Linked DNA regions of Xenopus tropicalis. The protein of the gene in region 4 interacts with the protein of the main gene of each other region in a pairwise test. Links are inferred from orthologs where the notes say so. Each region holds a gene or a part of one and is shown on either strand. Other genes may lie near its edges.

The links.
Region 1: the proteins of trim63 (region 4) and usp13 interact in a two-hybrid assay, tested with the Homo sapiens proteins (2 studies listed by BioGRID and IntAct). The link is inferred for Xenopus tropicalis from reciprocal best matches to the Homo sapiens genes TRIM63 and USP13.
Region 2: the proteins of trim63 (region 4) and myoz1 interact in a two-hybrid assay, tested with the Homo sapiens proteins (2 studies listed by BioGRID and IntAct). The link is inferred for Xenopus tropicalis from reciprocal best matches to the Homo sapiens genes TRIM63 and MYOZ1.
Region 3: the proteins of trim63 (region 4) and tnni2 interact in a two-hybrid assay, tested with the Homo sapiens proteins (2 studies listed by BioGRID and IntAct). The link is inferred for Xenopus tropicalis from reciprocal best matches to the Homo sapiens genes TRIM63 and TNNI2.
Region 5: the proteins of trim63 (region 4) and myot interact in a two-hybrid assay, tested with the Homo sapiens proteins (2 studies listed by BioGRID). The link is inferred for Xenopus tropicalis from reciprocal best matches to the Homo sapiens genes TRIM63 and MYOT.

What each region holds. Positions count from the first base shown.
Region 1 is NC_030681.2:108,723,920-108,727,433, reverse strand, and holds part of usp13 (ubiquitin carboxyl-terminal hydrolase 13), read left to right. Parts: intron 1-761; coding exon 762-856; intron 857-1,088; coding exon 1,089-1,276; intron 1,277-3,514. UniProt on the Homo sapiens protein: Deubiquitinase that mediates deubiquitination of target proteins such as BECN1, MITF, SKP2 and USP10 and is involved in various processes such as autophagy, endoplasmic reticulum-associated degradation (ERAD), cell cycle progression or DNA damage response.
Region 2 is NC_030683.2:44,138,246-44,142,549, forward strand, and holds the start of myoz1 (myozenin-1), read right to left. Parts: upstream 2,807-4,304; 5' UTR 2,655-2,806; intron 1-2,654. UniProt on the Homo sapiens protein: Myozenins may serve as intracellular binding proteins involved in linking Z-disk proteins such as alpha-actinin, gamma-filamin, TCAP/telethonin, LDB3/ZASP and localizing calcineurin signaling to the sarcomere.
Region 3 is NC_030680.2:21,783,812-21,787,864, forward strand, and holds the start of tnni2 (troponin I, fast skeletal muscle), read left to right. Parts: upstream 1-1,251; 5' UTR 1,252-1,298; intron 1,299-3,379; exon of another isoform or gene 3,380-3,473; intron 3,474-3,585; 5' UTR 3,586-3,605; coding exon 3,606-3,616; intron 3,617-4,053. UniProt on the Homo sapiens protein: Troponin I is the inhibitory subunit of troponin, the thin filament regulatory complex which confers calcium-sensitivity to striated muscle actomyosin ATPase activity.
Region 4 is NC_030678.2:76,885,023-76,889,185, forward strand, and holds the start of trim63 (E3 ubiquitin-protein ligase TRIM63), read right to left. Parts: upstream 2,811-4,163; 5' UTR 2,763-2,810; coding exon 2,604-2,762; intron 2,182-2,603; coding exon 2,018-2,181; intron 1,901-2,017; coding exon 1,732-1,900; intron 871-1,731; coding exon 775-870; intron 307-774; coding exon 73-306; intron 1-72. UniProt on the Homo sapiens protein: E3 ubiquitin ligase. Mediates the ubiquitination and subsequent proteasomal degradation of CKM, GMEB1 and HIBADH.
Region 5 is NC_030679.2:31,483,233-31,487,226, reverse strand, and holds the start of myot (myotilin), read left to right. Parts: upstream 1-1,181; 5' UTR 1,182-1,528; intron 1,529-3,516; 5' UTR 3,517-3,624; coding exon 3,625-3,994. UniProt on the Homo sapiens protein: Component of a complex of multiple actin cross-linking proteins. Involved in the control of myofibril assembly and stability at the Z lines in muscle cells.

The DNA.
Region 1 (3,514 bases), on a different chromosome or scaffold from region 4:
AAAATGCTTTATCTTTAAAATGACATTGTCCTTTAAAAGTAAACAGTGCAGCAACATTATTGAGAAAATTTACATTCAAATTTTCTACTTTGGTTTCTACTTTTTTTCTACTGTTTAGCCAATTTAATATTTGCATGATCTTGCAGAGTAAATTGTACTATTCAGTTCTCCATTCTTAGTTAATTGTTAATGTAAATTGTTAATGTTACAGAATGTCTTAAGGTGCCCATACACCTTAAGATCCGCTTGGCGATGTCGCCAAGCGAGCGTATCTTCTCTCGATATCCCCCACCTACGGGTGGGCGATATCAGGAGAATCCAGGCTAATTCGATAGTTTGGCCCTGGGGCCAAACGATCAAATTATAATGTCGGGCATAGGAAAAGTCGGTCCGGGGACCGCAACAACGAGCCGATGCGGTCCCCGATCCGACTAGATTTTTAAACCTGCCCGATCGAGATCTGGCCGATTGGTTTTCCCTTTTCTCTGTAATAATAACACAGTACATTGTACTTGATCCCCATTGGGTTTAATTACTGTTTAAATATTTTTTAGTGGACTTAAGGTAGGAGATCTGAATTATGGAAAGACCCCATATCCAGAAATCCCCAGGTCCTGAGCATTCTGGATAATAGGTTCTATACCTGCAATACGCTATTGGAGAGATGATCATGTAAATTTAAAATATGCTTTGCTGATGACCCCATCTATGCAAATATTAATAAATATATCTAATTGCGCACTATCGTTTGGTCATTGCAGATGTGTATTCCTTTGATGAAGAGGAAGCAGTTATAGATCCCCACCTGGCCAAGCACCTTGCGCACTTTGGCATTGATATGCTGCAGATGCAGGGAGTACGTGTTTTCTTACTAATAATGATCATCCTTATGTTTATAGAGGTCTTTTACAAAGCACAGTTTAATGCATTACTGTATAGTAGCATAACCAGTCTGTATTAGGAGGTATCTCATCTAAGCACCATGATGCTTATAAATAAATAGCAATTGTAAAGACATGATCCCTATTTAGTGATTATGACCTCTCGGCGTTTTCTTGTTGACATGATGCTTATTGGCTCTCTTTTAGAGTGAGAATGGTGTCCTGGACAATGAAGTCAAACCAAGAGTTAATGAGTGGGAGGTTATCCAAGAAACTGGATTAAAGTTAAAGCCAATGTTTGGCTCTGGCTACACTGGCATTAAAAACCTTGGGAACAGCTCCTACCTCACTACAGTGATGCAAGTCATCTTTAGCATCCCTGAGTTTCAGAGAGCGTGAGTATCCTTGAATGTATTGGAACTCTTTGTATTTTTTGTTTCATATGTCATTACAAAGGTGACCACTACAGTACAGCTGAGAGCATGTGGTTTTTCTCTAGATTAGAATTCCACGTGTCAACCCATGTTATGATCCTTTAATTTTTTAAACTAAGGAGCATTCTATAGCCTGTACATAAAATTGCAAATTAATGCAACAAGCAAACCAATTTGTCTCTAGAGTTTAGTGGAGATCTGACTGGTATTTTAAACAGGTCTTCTTTGATTGATGTGCAGGTCTATCCGTTTTAGATGGTGCATTCTTTAGTTTAGTCTGAAATCTGTAAATGTCAGTCTTCCTATTCAAACCATAATTCATGGAATTAATTCTATGTAGTGGTGTGCAGACCAGCCTGAAACCCACAAGTCGGGTGGGTTTGGCCAACATTAGCAAAAGATTTGTGGATTGTAGGTGGGTTCAGGCTTCCTTTTGCCCTGCCTGTGTCCTTACTGTACCCCATTTCTGCCTATGATAGCCTCTGTTTATAGGTGTGCGCTTGCACCGCCCCCTTCATGACACAGAGATGGGGCAGGTCAGACACAAGTCAAAATAGAGGTGTATTCCCGGGTTGGGTTAGGAGCAGGCAGGTTAGGGCTGATGCACATCACTAAATCTGTGGTCATAGATATAAATATGTGATGTGGCATTTTGGATTATAGACCAAAAATGACATACAGGTATGGGACCTGTTATCTAGAATGCTCGGGACCTGGGGTTTTCCGTATAAGGGATCTTTCCGTAATTTGGATCTCAACAATTTAAGTCTGCTAAAAATCATTTAAATAATTAATAAACCCAATAGGCTTGTTTTGCCTCCAATAAGGATTTATTATGTCTCAGCTGGGATCAAGTACAAGCTACTGTTTTTTTCGGAGCGTTAAAACTTTTCTCGCCTTTTTCGTAGCCATTCCGAAAGTTGCGCAAAATGTTGCGATTTTTTTCGTAGCGCTCGGATTCATTCAAGCTTCAGTATGGTGACTTTTCTTGGGCCAGGTTGGAGCTGCAGGGTGCCATTGAGTCCTATGGGAGGTTTCCAAAATCATGCTAAGTCTGAAAGTTTCGCCCGCCGCTTATGAGCGCTCAATACGAAAAAGTCGCGTCAAGATACGAGCGAATCATAATGGATACGAAAAAAATCGTATTGGTAACGAAAAAGTCGCGACAATTTCCGAAAAGTCGTAAAGGCGCCGAAAAAATCGCAAAAAATACGAAAAAGTCACAAAATTTTCGTTTTCCAATCGGAATTTTTCCAATTCGGATTCGTGGGTTAGTAAATGTGCCCCTTAATCTGTTTTCACACTCCAGATGGAAATCTAAAAAAATGGCTGTGCCCTGGTAATATTTAAATATATTTTTGCATGCTAATTTCAGGTACCTCTTCTGTAAACCATCTAACTATTCCAGGATTACAAACATTAATGCATTATGGTAAACACATGCAAGCAAAAATAAGGTAGAAAATATCTAGTAGTGGAAGTGTTTTCATTTGTGTTCTGTTCATTTCTCCCAGATCAGGGAGACCTAATATGAGCAAATAGACCCAGAAAGAATAATTTGGCAGCATGTATAGATGTATGCAATAGAATACCACTCTTTCCACCCTCTCTGCAACAGTGTGGGACTGGCCCACCAAGATACCAGGAAAACTCCCGGTAGGCCCATGTGTCAGGTGGCCCTCTTGCTCACACAACCATTTGCCTTTTATGCCTATACCATGGACATTACTCAATTCTATGGGGCTGATTTACTAATCCACGAATCCGAATCCCGAACGGGAAAAAATCGGATTGGAAACGAACATTTTGCGACTTTTTCGTATTTTTTGTGTTTTTTCCGTCGCCGTCACGACTTTTTCATAAATTGTTGCGACTTTTTCGTAGCCGTTACGATTTGCGCGAATTGTCGCAACTTTTTCATAGCCGTTACGACTTGCTCGTATATTGTCGCGACTTTTTCGTATTGAGCGTTCGTAAACGGCGGGCAAACCTTTCAGACTTTGCATGATTTTGGAAGCCTCCCATAGGACTCAATGGCACTCTGCAGCTCCAACCTGGCCCAAGGAAAGTCTCCCATAGGGCTCAATGGCACTCTGCAGCTCCAACCTGGCCCAAGGAAAGTCACAATACTGAAGCTTGAATGAATCTGAAACTTTCGTACTCGGCGCGACCGCTAGGAAAAAGTCGCGACAATTTGCG
Region 2 (4,304 bases), on a different chromosome or scaffold from region 4:
TTTAGGGTCATTAGGTCTGTATGTGACAGATTCTCTGTATCAACCCTCTTGATTCTTCCTAAACTAAATCAAACATTTGATTTTGTGTCATTTTTAAGAGACCTAATTTACCAGAATTTATCTTTTCTGCTTTTCATCTTCCTCTGCAAATTTTTATTCCTGGAGATGTTAAAAAAGTGAAAATATGCAGAATGATTTGTGTTTATTTGCTTTAATTAACAAGATACAGAAACCGGATAAGTAACTGGATAAGTTGGATAAGTAATTCTTCTCAAATTCCTTGTGTTGTCTGTCTGGCCCTTATCAGACCATATTTTACAAAAAGATGTAGAATCTGTTCCTCTTGTTCTGATGATCTGTGTGTGACATATTATTGGCCAATAGGAAATGATAGGGGGGCACTTCCCTTTAAATTCCTTTGGGCTTAACAATCAGTTAAGCCACCTGATCATATGAGCAAATATGAACTTACTGAATTGCAATCTTTTCATATTTATAACTGTTAATATATTACATGGCAACTCACAACCTGGTGGTAGTTGACTGCTGGGTTGTACTTTGGACCAAAAACAGTTAAAATATGACCCTGGGCCATTTTATTATACCAACCACCTAAGTCTATCCATATTAAATCCTGCACATAGCACAGTGGAAGAATTGTCTGTTCCCAAGGATCTCTATGAGGTAACAGGGCACAGGAGCAGTTTTTACCTCCACACCCCCTGTAGGTTCAGTACATACTGCAACAAACTGCAAAGGCAATTGCCCAAGTCATCTTCATGGCATAGGTTGCTATTAAGAACATAGCAATGATAACCGTAGTAGTACTTATGCTTTAATGCAGGCTCATACCTAAATTTTGAATATACATTCTAATTGCGTTATGCCTGTAGAGCAGTCAGTGATATCTTGGCTAAATGTACTGGAGTCTGGAACTGGAGAAGGTTTTATTATCAGAGACACTTCTTTTGCATTATTACACATTCCCTTTTTGGGATCTCCTATGCCTATTAGCTCAGCTAGTGCAAATAGGACAAACCTAGATACTATTTTTAATCCAAAGTGGTCAATAAAAACGTCATTACTGACACAGGAGTGGTTTAAAATGTCACCAAAAGACTCTGATGGGCTTGCCCTGATGGGTTTTAAATTTACTGGCAAAAAAGTTCTGGATGCCTTCCAAGGGACATAGTAGGTTGCAATCTGACAAACACAAGTTTAATCAAGACCAAAACAGAAAATAAAATACCAGAAATGCTTGAAGAGCACCACTAAAGGGAGATGCAATATGTTCAGCAGTAATTGCAATTCTGTTTAATATTTCAAATTGCAAATATATTTGCAGGTTTCGAAAGTAGGAAATAGAAATGTTTTTTTTAAGGACTATACTCTGTTTCCATAACATATACTGCATATGGGAGTTTTACACCCAGTTTTATTTTTTAATCTGTGCTCTACAGAAAGTGCCAAATGGGTTTGCCCAAGCATGCATACACAATGTACAATAATCACTCTGCCAAGTCTCCAAGGGAGCAGGAAATGTGACACTGGAAGTGTTTGGCCAACACAGCTACCTTAAAAATTAGACTAGATTAGCTGTGATAGTTATGTTAACAGACAAGCTAATCATGATTTTATTCCTAATTCATTTATATTTATCAGACATACAATCAGGTGCCTACAGCGCTGTTCCATTTCTGGAGTCTTTCTAACATTCCAGAAGCAAACAAGACTCAAGTAAGGGGTTTCAAATATTCACAATATACAGTTACATTATATTGGATTTTCTTTTTAAGAGAATCAGCAAGAGTTAAAATAACGATTGTGCTAATTAAATATGAATAGAACAAAAATACCTCTTATCATTTAAGCAAAAGTTAAAAAATGTGCAACATTGTAATGCACTTTTTAAAGACTGAATCTCTGATTTTGACCAACAACCTTGTGCATTCTTTATTTATCTGGGAAAATGTTTCCTGCAAAAAGACTACCAGCAGTGTTAGGGTTAGAATTACAGCAAGGTTACCAGTTTTGCCAGGAATAGTTACACTCCTACTGCTTCTTTGCTCTTTTTTGCCCATGGAGGAATGTAGTCCTTAGAGTAATTGCCTGATATTTTTGAAACTGCTTACTTACTGGAAAAAACTTCACAAACCCCTAGTTTGTATCAGGACATATATATATATATAAGTTTAATCATTTCGGAAATCTCAGATAGTAATAACAAGGAGGAAAAAGAAAAAAAAGGTGGGTCTAAGTAGTCCTTTATCAGTTTACCCTACAAACTTAAAATGTTTTACAAATGTATATATTGCTATTTCCACAAAAAAATAACCAGAACTTCAGCAGGTCGTTAAAAGTTCTAGGTAGTCAGCAGAGAGAAAGCCTATTAAAACAGTCTAAGCAGATCTCACGTTACCCAGAAAGCATTTGGCTGCAGTCTACACACATCTCATACCCAAGAATATGACTTTGCAGTGTCAGCAGTATTCACTGCCCGCATCTTCAGTTTCAGCTTGTGAACTTTAGTGCCCAAAAGAATTTTTCTAATTATTTGTTTAAAATTGTATTTTTTTAAAGTTCCAATACCTTTAAAGATAATTGGCTATTCTCTAGTTACTCATAAGACCCGAATTGATTATTGATGTGCTTACTTTTTCGCAGGAACTGGAGATCAGCTAAAGGAGGAGAGATGGGAGCTTCTTTGATGTTATAATTGTAAACGTCCTCTTGCGGATTCTTTCCTTTTTATTAATTTGGCTCCCTTGTGTCTTGTCTCTCAGAGGGCAGCAACAAGAAGGACGTGTATCCGGGGTATCTGCACAGCTCAAAGTGCTGATGCAGAGTGCAGTACATTTGACTCTTGGATGTTGCTGTGGCATCCTGAAGTTTATTAATAGTAAAAGGAGTAAGGGGGATCTCAGATAGCAATAGCACGGAGGAAAGAGAAAAAAAGGTGGGTCTCAGCAGTCCTGATGTCCATCTCAGCACAGAGTGAAAAAGAAATACAGTCAGCGAGGAATATTTCACTATTATATGCAATTAAAAAGACTGAGGGTGATTTTATCTTCATCCTTTTCATCCTGACATGTTGCACATTGAATACTAATGTAAATATTAGATTTGGTTTATTGAGGCAAGGCTTGTTCTCAGCCCCATTTGGAAAAAAGGGTTACATTTACAGTCACAAGGTACAGTGCTAAAATGGTCTCAGAACTACGCCCATATAATTGCCAAATGTAATTCTATTCTAGTGCCACACACCACTTTGGTAGTTGCTCCACTGGTGTATAAAGCACAAGATGTGGGCACACAACGGGCATGTTCAGCTTTAACTAAAGCCACACAAGCACGCACAAAGTTCTTTGGGAAAGGACAGTGATTGGCTATTTGGCAGCCCCATGTGGACTGCTGGTCTGCAGGAGGCTCTGCTTGGAGTAAAAGTTTGTCTCTATATTTCTAAAACTTGTTTCCAAGCCAGAAATGTAAAAATGGGCACCTACTTTGAGGCAACTGGGAGCAACATCAAAAGGGTGGTGAACCACTGATTGTGGATCACTGGTCTAGTCATTTATTAAAAGATCCGGATATAAAAAGCACAATTAAATTAAAATGTGGAACAAAAATGAAAAGAACAAGACAACCTAAAATGTTTCATTTTTGGAAGAATTTTTGTGCGCTTGAAAATAATAAAGCCCCATAAACCTCTAAAACCACGAATAAATACATATTGTTACTTGTAATTTGCCCATTGACTTCTACTTGGCCTCAGCTGCTAGTAGTTGGCATAGTTTTGAATTTTTTACTGGTTTTTTTTCATTAGTTATTACTAAAATATCACGGAAAACCACAATTTGTCAAATGCAAAATATATGAATGTTATTAAATATGCACAGTGTATATGTATACACACCTCCTATATATATACATATACTGTATGTGTGTGTGTGTGTGTGTTTGTGTGTGTGTAGTTCTCTGTACAGCTAAAATATTTAAAAACATCAGAAGCTGCTTCTGTATCTGTGTTATTTAACATGCGTCACCTCATTCTGAAAATGAGTGTTACCAACACTGCTGCTATACGGACCCAGTCATTATTAAGAACCTGAAAATAAATGTTTAGTATTTTTAGTTCATTAAATAGGGCCCAAGATGTCCAGAACTTTGCTACTATTAAGATACATCTTTGATAACACATTTGGAAATGGACGTGCCACTGTTTTCAACAGATGTAAGAAACCACACAAGCCTAGTTATAGATCTGAGGGATAATTTACTACCATCAGGACAGTGCAGAATTGTTC
Region 3 (4,053 bases), on a different chromosome or scaffold from region 4:
CGGGGAACAAGGGAGTGGCTGGGTATGGGTGGCAGTGTGCATCTATGGAGGGGCCATTGCAAGACAAAAAGCCCAGATAATACGCCAAGTGCCTTAGCACTGACTAATATGCCTTTTTGGGAGGCTGACAGGGCCAGAATGTGTGCTCTAGAGCAGTGGTTCCCAACTTTTTTTGCACCACGGACCGGTTTCAAGCAAGACAATTTGTCCAAGGACCGGGGATGGGGGGTGCGGCGCAACTAGTGCTAGTTAAATTTTATATTATGCACTTTACTATTAATATTATTATTACATACAGCTTAATAAAGTACTTTGGTCCTTGTCGTAATCAGTAGAAATCTTCCTGGGCTTCGAATAGCTATTGTCATGGCTGTGTAAAGCATCAGGGAGTTGGGATCACAAGTAATATGGAGCAGTGGTGGCCCATTTCAGCACAGCCCACGGCCCGGCACCGGTCCCCGTACCGGTGGTTGGGGACCCCTGCTCTAGAGGAGCCGGTGTGGTCCAAAGTGCCAGCTTGGTGCCCATGAAATGCTATTTTGCATCATGTCCAGTAGAGGTCAGCACCACCCTGCTGCTTTTCTGTATGTGGGCAGTAATACAGGAATGCCCTGGGTGAGCGAATTCCTTAGCCCCCAGCAGGATTACAGGCCAGAGGACTATCTGTGTGTCTGCTAGAGACGAATAAACCCCAAACAATTAGAAGAGAATGCTGAGATAGCCTGCTGTGGGGCGGGAGGAGCGGAGAGACAGGTGTGAGGGTGCATTGGGTGGGACCTTTTTAGAAGAGAAAGCTGCTAGGGATAAGTTGCATAGCTGAGATTGAAAAGGGTACTAGCTGTTTTGGTTGGGGGGGATAAGTAAGAGGGAAGTATCTGCTTTGGGAAAGTAATGGGATCTGCAGAGAACAGCACATTAACCCTTTAGTGGCTGAGATGCCTCCTACTTTAGATTTGTATCTCTAGACCCTCCCAGAAGGTTAAGCGCACTGCCCATACCATGCTCCCAGTGCCATGACAGTAGGCATTTGGGGGCCAATGTTATTTAAGGAATGCCCCACTGTTCACAATGCTGACCACCAGCAGATACAGGGTTAAGTCTTAAGATGGGCTGCAAGGGAGGGTCAAAGTATTTGTGTCACCCGCCTCGTGATTGGTCGGAGGTTGTTTGCATGCCCTTACTGAGCCAGGCAGCTTTTACCCCTGGGCACCCCCCCAGCACATTAATACCCCCCTCACAACACAGCGCTGCCAGTCCCACCCCTGCTTCATAGAGAGGGCTCAGTCTACGAGGGTCAGGTAAGGAACAGCCCCTGGGGGGCAAAGGCAGAGGCATGTGTATATACAATAAATGGATTTCTGTCTGTCAGTACAGTATGTGCATGAGATTAATTAGGGTCCTGCCTGGGCAACTTGCAGCCGAGATCTCTGCCTATACACAAGCCCCCTATCCCCCTAGCTCATTCATTACACTGTTCAGCCCACTATAAATAAATTACCTACATTTATTATAACCTATTCAGTCATACATTCTCTGTGCTTTAAAACAACAAGCTACAGAATTCCCTGTAAAACAAGAGTTAATATTTAACATTTACTTACATTACAACCTCCATTCACAATAGCAAAACCCAACCGGGGAGGGGGGATTTAACACCACGACCCTATCGTGAGAATTTTAATTGAATTTGTATATATTAACGATGCCAGTGAACTTCATGTATTGCGCAAATATTGGCAAGCACACAATTTTATCTACGTGCTTTCAGCAGCCTCGGTTCCACATATATAGATATAGTATGTTGGGGAAAAATCATTATTTTATAGTCATTAATAACAATTATATGTAATAGATCCCTGCCAGAGTTTAATGAGTGTATGAATGTACATTTAAAGTAACAAATTATCTGTGTATTTGTATTAACTGCTTAGAATTCCCGGCATTTACAGTTTAACCTGAAGGGAGGGGATGGCTGTTAATTAAAGAGTTAACAGACCATTCTCCACCGATTCCCTTTCTCTTAAACACACTTCACTTGTATAGATTTCTATTCAGCATTTGATTATCATGCCCCATAGTCTCTGTACAGAGCAACAAGGCTGCTCCATGCTCGGTACCATTATAGAATGTTGCTTAGTTATTGTTTTTAAGTGTTATGTTGTGTAGTAGACACTTACAATGACCCATTTTGTGCATGGAACCCATACCCACCCATTTGGAACTGATGTTTAATTCATTACAGGACCCCCTTTTGTAGCATGAAACATATATATATATTCCTGATAGAACCTATAGATACAAATGTATTAGATGGAACCATATATGTAGAATAAGTAAGGGTAGGGTACAACAGACTAGCTGCCAATATATTTTTTATATATATTTATATAAATATATATATATATACAGGCATGGGATCCCTTATCCGGAAACCCGTTATCCAGAATGCTCCGAATTATGGAAAGCCCATCTCCCATAGACTCCATTTTAATCAAATAATTCAGAATTTTAAAACTGATTTCTTTCTTCTCTGTAATAATAAAACAGTACCTTGTAATTGATCCCAACTAAGATATAATTACCCCTTATTGGAGGCAAAACAATCCTATTGGGTTTAATTACTGTTTTATTGATTTTTTAGTAGAGTTAAGGTATGGAGATCCAAATTACGGAAAGACCCCTTATCAGAAATACCCTTGGTCCCAAGCATTCTGGATAACGGGTCCTATACCTGTATATATATTATATATATCTCTCTTTTAACCCCAACTATGGGCCTGCTGAGCCCTATTGTTCTACCATGTATGCCTGTGCCCAAAGACTTACCACTACTCTTTCCCTCATTGCCCCAATTGGCATTGCTTCCCAGCCCATGGTTCGGTGAAAGGCTAGATTTGGGAGATTTTCCTAATTCCGGAGGATTTGTGCCCAAGTTGCCTGTGCTGAAAGAAGGAGATATTTGGAAATATGACCTGCGTCCGCCACCACTGATTGAGAACCTTGGTTTCAAGCATTATTATAATATTCCGCAGCCTACAGGCTGTAAATCTGGGGCAAATATTACTCAGCATTATAGGGCATTGAGTGGCTTTTATTTTAGCATCTGAAATGGGACCCCCTGAGAGTCAGCGCATGAATGCGAGGAAAGGGAATGAACACATGGCTAAGGTTTCTTCACCTGTGACCTCATTCATTAGAAGGGCCTGGCAAGGAGGGATCCATAGAGAAAGGGTGAGACAGCTGTCATGCCTTAAAGGCTCCGTGGGATATTTTCGGAAAGTCTTGCAAAGTTGCTGATATCTCCAAAGGGGATCAGATGACTTCAAATAGGGTGGCGGGGTGTCCCATCTCTGCTCCCCCTGCCAAGGTTCTATTTAGAGGCCGGCCAGCGGTGGCAGAGGAAGGGACATCCAAGGAGCTGAGTTCATTGGGGAATTTCAGACTAATCCTTCCATCAGTCTGTGCCTAGGCTGGTATGTGAGCGGGGCTCAGCGTGTTCCTTACAGGGATTCTTTGCCAAAGAGTTATATCTTGGGGGGCAGGACTTCATGTGCTGAATTTTGTGTCTTTGTGTTTTGTGCTCAGGTATCACAGAAACCGCCAAGATGGGTGAAGAGTGAGTAAAAACCTCTTTGGGTCAAACCATGTTCTCTCTGTCTGTCTCTATATTATATCTGACTAGTATCTGTCTTATTCTTTCTAATCTATCTGTCTATCTATCTATCTATCTGTCTATAATCTATCTATCTATCTATCTATCTATCTATCTATCTATCTATCTATCTAATCTATCTATCTATCTATCTATCTATCTATCTATCTATCTATCTATCTATCTATCTATCTATCATCTATCTATCTATCTGTCTATAATCTATCAATCTATCTATCTATCACCTATCTATCTAATCTATCTATCTATCTATCTATCTATCTATCTGTCTATCTTCTATCTATCTATCTATCTATCTATCTGTCTATCTATCTATCTATCTATCTATCTATCTATCTGTCTGTCTTCTATCTATCAGGCATATATCTGTCTCTATTAAC
Region 4 (4,163 bases):
CACTTTTTTTTTTTACTCGTCTTTATAAATATGCATGTAGAGGCATTTATGTTGGAAGTCCCAGTAAATTACCAGAAGAAAGTTAGCAGGTCCAGGCTGTTCCATAGCCTGAAAAGCATTCTGTAGCACATTGGATGAGGACTGGAGCTGTTCCTGATACCGTACAATGAGAGAACGCACAAAGTTCAACTTCTCTTCCTCAGCTTGTGAAATCCGCTGTACCAGATGAGTCTTTTTCTCCTCCAGGTTCCTGAAAAGTGTCTCAAACATCTCTTTCACAGACTCCTTTTTACTCTGACTGTTCTCCTAAATGGGATGATTAAAGAAAGAACAGTCAAACTCACTAATCTCTGTAAGTGATCAGTAACAACCCTCAAACACCTCTTAGGCAAGTAAGTCGGATTTATGGTTTCCTTTGATGTTACTTTGGAGCAAACATATACTACACTAAACTGTATTCTGGATAGACAGCCCTTATTATTATTAACATGTATTCCGCAGAACTGTACAAAAATGGGTGTATAAATTAAACATACAGATACATACAATGCAACCAATAACCAATACAAGAGGTGAAAAAGGGGCCTACCTGACTGATAACTGGTTGGGTATTGGCCAGATATCCAATAGGCTGGGTAAAAAATACTATTCACATCCACTGTACATTGCTCATTTAACTTGTATCAGCTATATAGATTGATCTGTATGTGTAGGAAACTCCAGGATTCATGCACTGCTGTCTCCATGTAAAGTAAAGTTCTTGAAATTTCTCACCTGTATAGTTTTGCATGATTCTTCCAGCTGGCTAAGAATACACTGAATTCTATCATTACCCGCTACCAGCATCGATATGCAGCTATTCAGTTCTGTCTGTAAGAATAGAGATAGCAAAGAAAAAATAAAAATGTGTTATAATTAAGGGAGTTAAAAATTGATGTATATTAGTAGTGAAATAAAAAGCCAGAAAGCATAACTAAAGGCACAATATGCCTAAAAAAACAGGTCCAATAAATAAATATACTATATATAAATATAGTATATACGTTGATGAGCTGGCACTGCAAATAAAAGGGCTAAATGAATAATATAGAAGATACTATTTTTTTTTTCAACAAAAAATGTGGTGAGAACATTGGGAGCTGAAACTTATTAAATGTATGTAAATTAACACTTAGATTAGAAATGATAAAGCTGAATATCCTTTAATAGTGGTCAGGTCAAATGACCCTCTTCAACCTGCTCTTCCTTCACACCCCCACACAGCTGTGACACTACACTGCAGCCTCAACTCTTTCTAAATATATCAGCTGACTTGACTATGCTGTATCTATAAATAAGAAGTAAAAAGCTACCAAGAGACTCAGGACTATGTGGGACCTTGAAAAATTAACTATGCAACACTTTTAATGTTGTTTGTGTGACTGGTTGTGCTGCTACAGGCCAGTCAATAAAGCAAGCACTATGCATATGCTTAGATAGATAATAGATAGCAGTTTGCAACTGTTTGTGTGATTCTGTCCTTTTTAATATAATGTATATTAAGTCTTAGTGGTGGTTAGTTTGTCCATGTAGTTACTGTGTGTCATCATAAACACTAAATAAGCCATTGCATGAAGTGATTGTGATACCCTGCTGTGTGTTCACTTGCTTCCGCCAGGGTGGCTGATATTATGGTTATGGCAAATGGTGTAACCCTAGTTTGCATGAAGTTGCTTCTTGTGTTTCTCTCACCTTCTGACTCTGATACACGTTCTGGAGGGGAGACACATCACAGTCTTTATGAACTCCAAACACTTTGCACATAGAGCATGTTGCTACCTGGCAGCTGAGGCAATATATATTTATTTTTTCATCTTCATGTTTCTCACACATTGGATGGTTTTCCTTCTTTTCAGGCCGACTGAGTAGTGGGAAAGACACAGAGAGAGTGATTTTGTAGTAACTAGCATAGATTATCTACCACTGTGTCCACAATAACAGATTCTACAGCACTAATTATTGCCTATTTTTTTCTTACCTAGTACAGTCTTGTTTGTAGATATCTATTATATTTTCTACCAGCAGGTTTCTCTGGAGACCGTATACTCCATGACGATCTAAGATAACTTCATGACGACAGGTTGGGCAGCGGAATCGCCCTCCAGATACTGAACTCCTTGTAGACCAATATGGGTTACCAGCCTAAAATCAAAAACTGAAGCGTTATTATATCCACATATCTTAAAGAACGAAAATGTTATCCACATATAAGTGTTTGCAACTGTAACATTATTTATAAATACTGATGGCTAATATAGCATTTGATTTCTAATGCATATTATATTTGAACCACTCTGTATAATGGTTGTGAAAAAAGAGTAACAGACAGAGACAGAGATTATTTTAGGAATGACTTCCCCAAACAAATGATGCATATACTTGATGGTAACCGGAAGTTACAGATAAAGGCAACAGGCCACATAAAAAGCATTATATGAGCATGCAGGAAAATAAAGCATAATATAACATAATAATGTATAATAGCAACTAGGCTGTTTCACAAAAGAGTGGGCTAATGCATACATTAAAAGCTGGTTACTCTTCACCAGAGAAGTTCTTCTCACCTGGAACACATCATTGGCACACTTTCTACACAAGTTGTGCTGGCATGGTAGTATTACCACAGGCTTGTTGAACATTTCCAGACAAATAGGGCAGATTAACTGCTTTTCAAGACTATCCATGGGATTATTCTCCCGGATAATTTCTGAATTGTAATCCATTTTGACAAATTATCTTCTTTATTTTCAGTCGTAGCTTTTAGGTCTCTCCTCTTGTGTCCTTAGTGTGACTTTATTTAACAGTCCTCGGTGCGAATCTTTTCTTTCCAGTCAAGTAGTGTTTCTTGTTCCAAGATTAGCTCCTGATTTCTGTGCAGACCCTCCTATATATAGTCTGTATGCTGGTCACATGCAGATGGTGGGGACGGACATCTCACATTCCTATGTCTGTACTGTGGGTTCAGATTTCCTGCAGTCCCTGAAAGTTTGCAAAGCTATCACATGAAGTAGTGAGTAATCTAAGGGAACCTTTTCTGTAAACAGGATAACAGGAGGATCCCTTTATGAGTGGAGTTATTTTGTTATTTATGGACTCAGGAACAACATGCTAACAAATGCAATATTCAGAGAAAGTAATTCAAGTCAATCCATCTGTGCCACTTCAACACATTTTCTGTTACGACTGCTTACACTGCACCATTGTCAAATTTATAGCCCATAAACCAAATAAAATATGCTGCCCAGAAACAATATAGATTTCTTTGTATAAAGTTATCATCACTTCAAAACACTCCAGCCGATAGAGATGCTGTATAATTAGCCTCTATAGTTCTGCCATCCTGAACAATTTTAATTTTCTTGATACACTGGAATATATCTTGCTAATTAAACATGCATATCTTATTTTAGTGGCCATTTTCTAGATGATTCTCTTTTATATTTTTTTACTGTAGGTCTCTAAATCCTCCATATGTATGCTATTATTGCTTCTTTCAGTAATACTGTTTTTCTAATATTGCTGATGCTTTATTTCACTGTAAAGGCATAAATAAAGCTGTTTCCTTTTTTCTTCTGTCACTGAAAATACTAAACCTCTCAGACTGTATCCTTTGTATGTATTATTTTACATTTTGTTCTGGTTAAACCATCTAAATGCCATGTCTATTCATCATTTATAGTATTATGGATTAATGTTTTCTAGGAATGAATGCAGGACTCAGCTGAATCCCATCACTTTTTGCATTATTCAGATTTGGGCAAATCCTTTGTTCTTAAGTTTAACTAGATCTGCCACAGATAATAGATTTTAAGACCTTTAAGGGCTTTTGGGTGCAGAAGCAGATCAAATGTTGCTTTTTTGCTTCACCCCAAGCAATGAGCAAAGTAGGGAATAAGTGACTGCTTGGTGGAGTGGTGGATCTGGGGTATTGACCACTGATGTTAATCTGAAATAATTATTTTCTTGCTTGAATTTGTAATTGCAAATGCAAATAAATTAGTTGAATTCAATGGTAAGGCAAAATTTGCTCATTCCTGTTCCTTGCATTCATATTTATGACGGTTTATCTTTGAACCAAAGGATATGTGGGATATGCTGGGTTTTTTTTGCCAGGTGATACTGAG
Region 5 (3,994 bases), on a different chromosome or scaffold from region 4:
ACATTAACATGCATAATATTTGATTGTTTTGGTTGATACTGATACACGAAGAGGGAAAGACTATATTAAAACAATTCTATAAATATGTTTTAACAATTCCACAGTTTAGTTAGGAAACCTATTGAATATTTATCATAATTTGAAATACTTTGATATAAAGCTAGGTACTCCAGCCAACTACTAATACACACCACTTTATAAAGAGGCAGAATAATGTTCTCCTCTTGTGTGTCAGGGTTGATGGTCTTCAGGAGGATTTGATCTTGTTGCATGAGCAAATGGCTTATAGGGGAGGTTAAGTAAGGAGGTAAGAGGAAGCAGGTACTGGAGAACAGACAGACCTGTCAATAGTAATACTAGGTACGAGTAGAAAACGATTTGTTCTTTATTTTGGTACAGGTAGGACAGGCATGGTAGCTATTAGTCAAAGTGGCAAGGTTGGGGCTCATAGTGGTAAGGAAAGTTCTGCAAGTACTGGAAGTGGCAATAAAGACAAAGACCAAAGGTAAGGTAACTAATGAGATCAAGTCCAAGTCCAGAGACGGGTCAAGGCAATTTAGAATACAAGGTCAGGAAACAAGCCAAAGGCAAACAACAGATATCCTGCAGAAACAACCTTCTTGGGGACAGGAAATGTGTATCTACAATCAGGCAAGGATATTGATGAATTCGGAGGTTTAAATGTCCAAACTTTGCACCAAACTGTGACGCTGCACATTAGCAATCAAGTCCTTATTGACTTACGATGATGCCAGTGGGGACAGAGAGGCTACATTACGTTTAATACAAAGCAACATTTTGCTAGCTCTAGCTTCTACAGCACTCTCTAGATTTAGGAATCTAGTCACTTTAGAGCAGGGATGCCCAGCCTTTTATTTCCGTGAACCACATTCAAATGGAGAAAGTTTTGGAAAGCAACACAATCATTATAGCCCTTATGATGACTGGAAGTCTACAAAAGGCTCGGTTTGGCAATTACACTGGGTTTTTATGCAATCAAAACTTGCCTCCTAACCAGTAATTCAAAAATAAGCACCTGCTTTGAAGTCACTGGGAGCAACATCCAAAGGGTTGGGGAGCAGCATGTAGCTCACGAGCCACTGGTTGGGGATCACTGGTTTAGAGCATGTACCATTAACAACAACCTGTGCTCTAATAGGCTGAGTGTTTAGAAGATCAAGAGACTAGTTTATTAGAGCAGTTGCTTATGTGCATCTGCTTTAAAAGCTTCTCTGAAATCTAACACCATGTACGCTGAAACAGCTTTCTCTTTATTTCATGTAATAAGCAAGTTTGTTTGACAAGATCTATCACTCACAAAGCCATTTACTCTTTATTTTATTCTACATAATCTAATCCTGTATGTAATTTTGCAGCAAATATACAGATATACAAGTTATGGGAACTATAAATGTCAGGTTGGAACTGTACAACCATTTTGAACATTGGAATTCCTTTGATTTACAACCCATTTGCACCATGCCAGGCAAAAGGGAGCTGAGAAATGAGTTAAGCCATTTAAGTGCTGGTGGGTATATTTCAGCAGAGCTGGTGCTTTATGTTTGCTGTTAAAAGTCTTTTCTTTTTTTCAGAGAGGAAAATATTATATTATGTTAAGTTTTCTGCATTACTAAATCCCAAAACCACTTAATAGGTTTTTTTAATTGGACCACCAATCTCAATCTTAATTTTTTTGGTATGCTTAAATAACTTTTTTTTTATTGTATGTTTTCAACAACATTTGTTTTAAAGGAGAAGGAAAGGTAAAAACTAAGTAAGCTTTATCAGATAGGTCTATGTAGATACAGCCATAAGCACTCACAGAAACGCTGCACTGAGTCCTCTTTCAAAAGAAACACAAGATTTCTTGTCTCTTTGTTTTCCTGTGCCAGAGTCTGCACAGCTCTCTCCTCTCTTCCCTCTCCTGCTCCCCCCTCCTATAAGAATGCTAAGAACTCCCTCCCCCCCTTAGGAATATGTGATCTGAGCCAATCAGCAGGAAGCTTCCTCATAGTCTTACAAACTGTGCATGTATACTGGTCTTGGTGCAGGAGTATGGCATTATGGGAATTTTCTTTACACAGCTCAGCGTTTTTTTTTCCTATGAGGCTTCTGATCATCTGAATGGGAGAAATATGGGGAGACTTAAGGGCACTATTGAGAGAACTGAAGGTATGCCTGCAGCTTGAGATTAACTCTTTATTAGCCTTTCCTTCTCCTTTAATCTTTACATTTTTTTTAAAGACAGTGTTCTCTTTTGTTTATTATTATGTTATTATTTAAAGTCACAGCTAGGGACTTTTTGTGTGTTTTTGCAAAGGGGAGTAAATTGAAAACTGCAATTATTTAATATTGTGTTAGGCAAGCTTTTCTGTTTTTAATATCTATCTATCTATCTATTATATTTATGCAAATGGTGCTTTATTATACTTGTCAGATTTTAATGTCTGTTCATTAATCAAGGAAGAACCTAGTCTCATGTGTATGGCAACCATATACATTTTGGCAAGTAGTCGTGCTAGTAGTTTTCAGGGAGATAACATAGTAAGAATTGCAGCAAATGTGAATCTTCATGAAGCCTGTAGTTACATCAGTTAGGACTTTAAAGTAAACAAGGTACTCTATTATTCCATGACACATTTTCTGTAGTTGTTTGTAAGCAAGAAATATTTGTATTCTGTTTCATTTTTTGTTTTTTTTTGTTGAGCAGTTTGCAAGCATTTTTATCTTCAAGCTGTAAAGAGCCAGAATAAAAAGGCTATAGAAAAAACAGTACAGAAAATGCAATGTGTGACGTAGGCCAAAGGTGTACCCCCGAAGATCTGTAGTTAGAATTTGAATTTTTTTCCTTGATTAAATTTTTTTTGCCCTAACATTCCTAATATTCCAACTATGGTTCCAGAACTCATATGTTCGATATCTATTAAGTGCAAAAAACAAATTCAAGGCCTTTTCTTTTCAATTCAAGATTTTTGAGTTTTTTTTGAGATTGTAAACTCACAAATTCTAGGTATTCTAGTTTTTTAAAATCAATTTTATTCAATCACATTTTTATATTTGGATTTTTTAATAAATAAGCATACATTTGAAAACTGATAAATAAGCTAGATAGTTACAGACTAGTCAGTTGTCATTGTGGGGGGTCCAGTGTGCAAAGTACTCTTAAATATAAGTTTTTAAACTCTATGGGACAGGGTCCCCCTTTCTCTTGTCCTAATATCTAATCTTGAATGTTAACACAATGGGATGTGATAGGGAGTGATTTTAACAGAGGAAAAACGTGCCAGGCAAACCCCCAAGAACCATCACGGACTAAACGTCTCAACAGTAAAAAGAGGGTTTGAACGTGGATGTGTCTTTTTTTTGCCTCAATACACAATATGACATTGTTACATTAAACATAGTTAGAGTAATATTACTAGTTACAGTACATTACTTTATTCTTTATAAATGATAGATAAAGCATCTTATATATATAATGAAGAATGAATGTATTAATTTATCATTTTATTTCAGGAGTGATCTCTTCAAGAAAAAAGGTACCAATGTGGATTATTTCCCAGCATACAACATTGGCAAACCAATAACCTGTACCTTAAGGGTCAACGGCAAGTGTCTGAAAATATGGACCTCTCGTCCCTGCCATCTGTTTCTGCAATGTATCAACCAACAACATTTAATTATGAGCGCCCTAAACATTTTATACAATCAAAACCGAAATGTCAAGTGGAATCCACGTCTCAGTCTACCAATGAAGCTGTACATACAAGCAGGTCACCTAAGAAAATTTCTATTTCAATTCAGCCTCAGCCATGCTCATCATATAACATGAGCTCTGCAGCACCGGTTGCACCATCAAAGTGTAGTAAAACAGAAGTTCATTTACAGCCCCAGTCTTCAAACATTGCATTATCTGGACAAGAAAATGATCAGAGCAAAAATACATCCACTGCATTTCTAGCAATTTCACCTTCCAAGAGTCAAAGTAAACCAA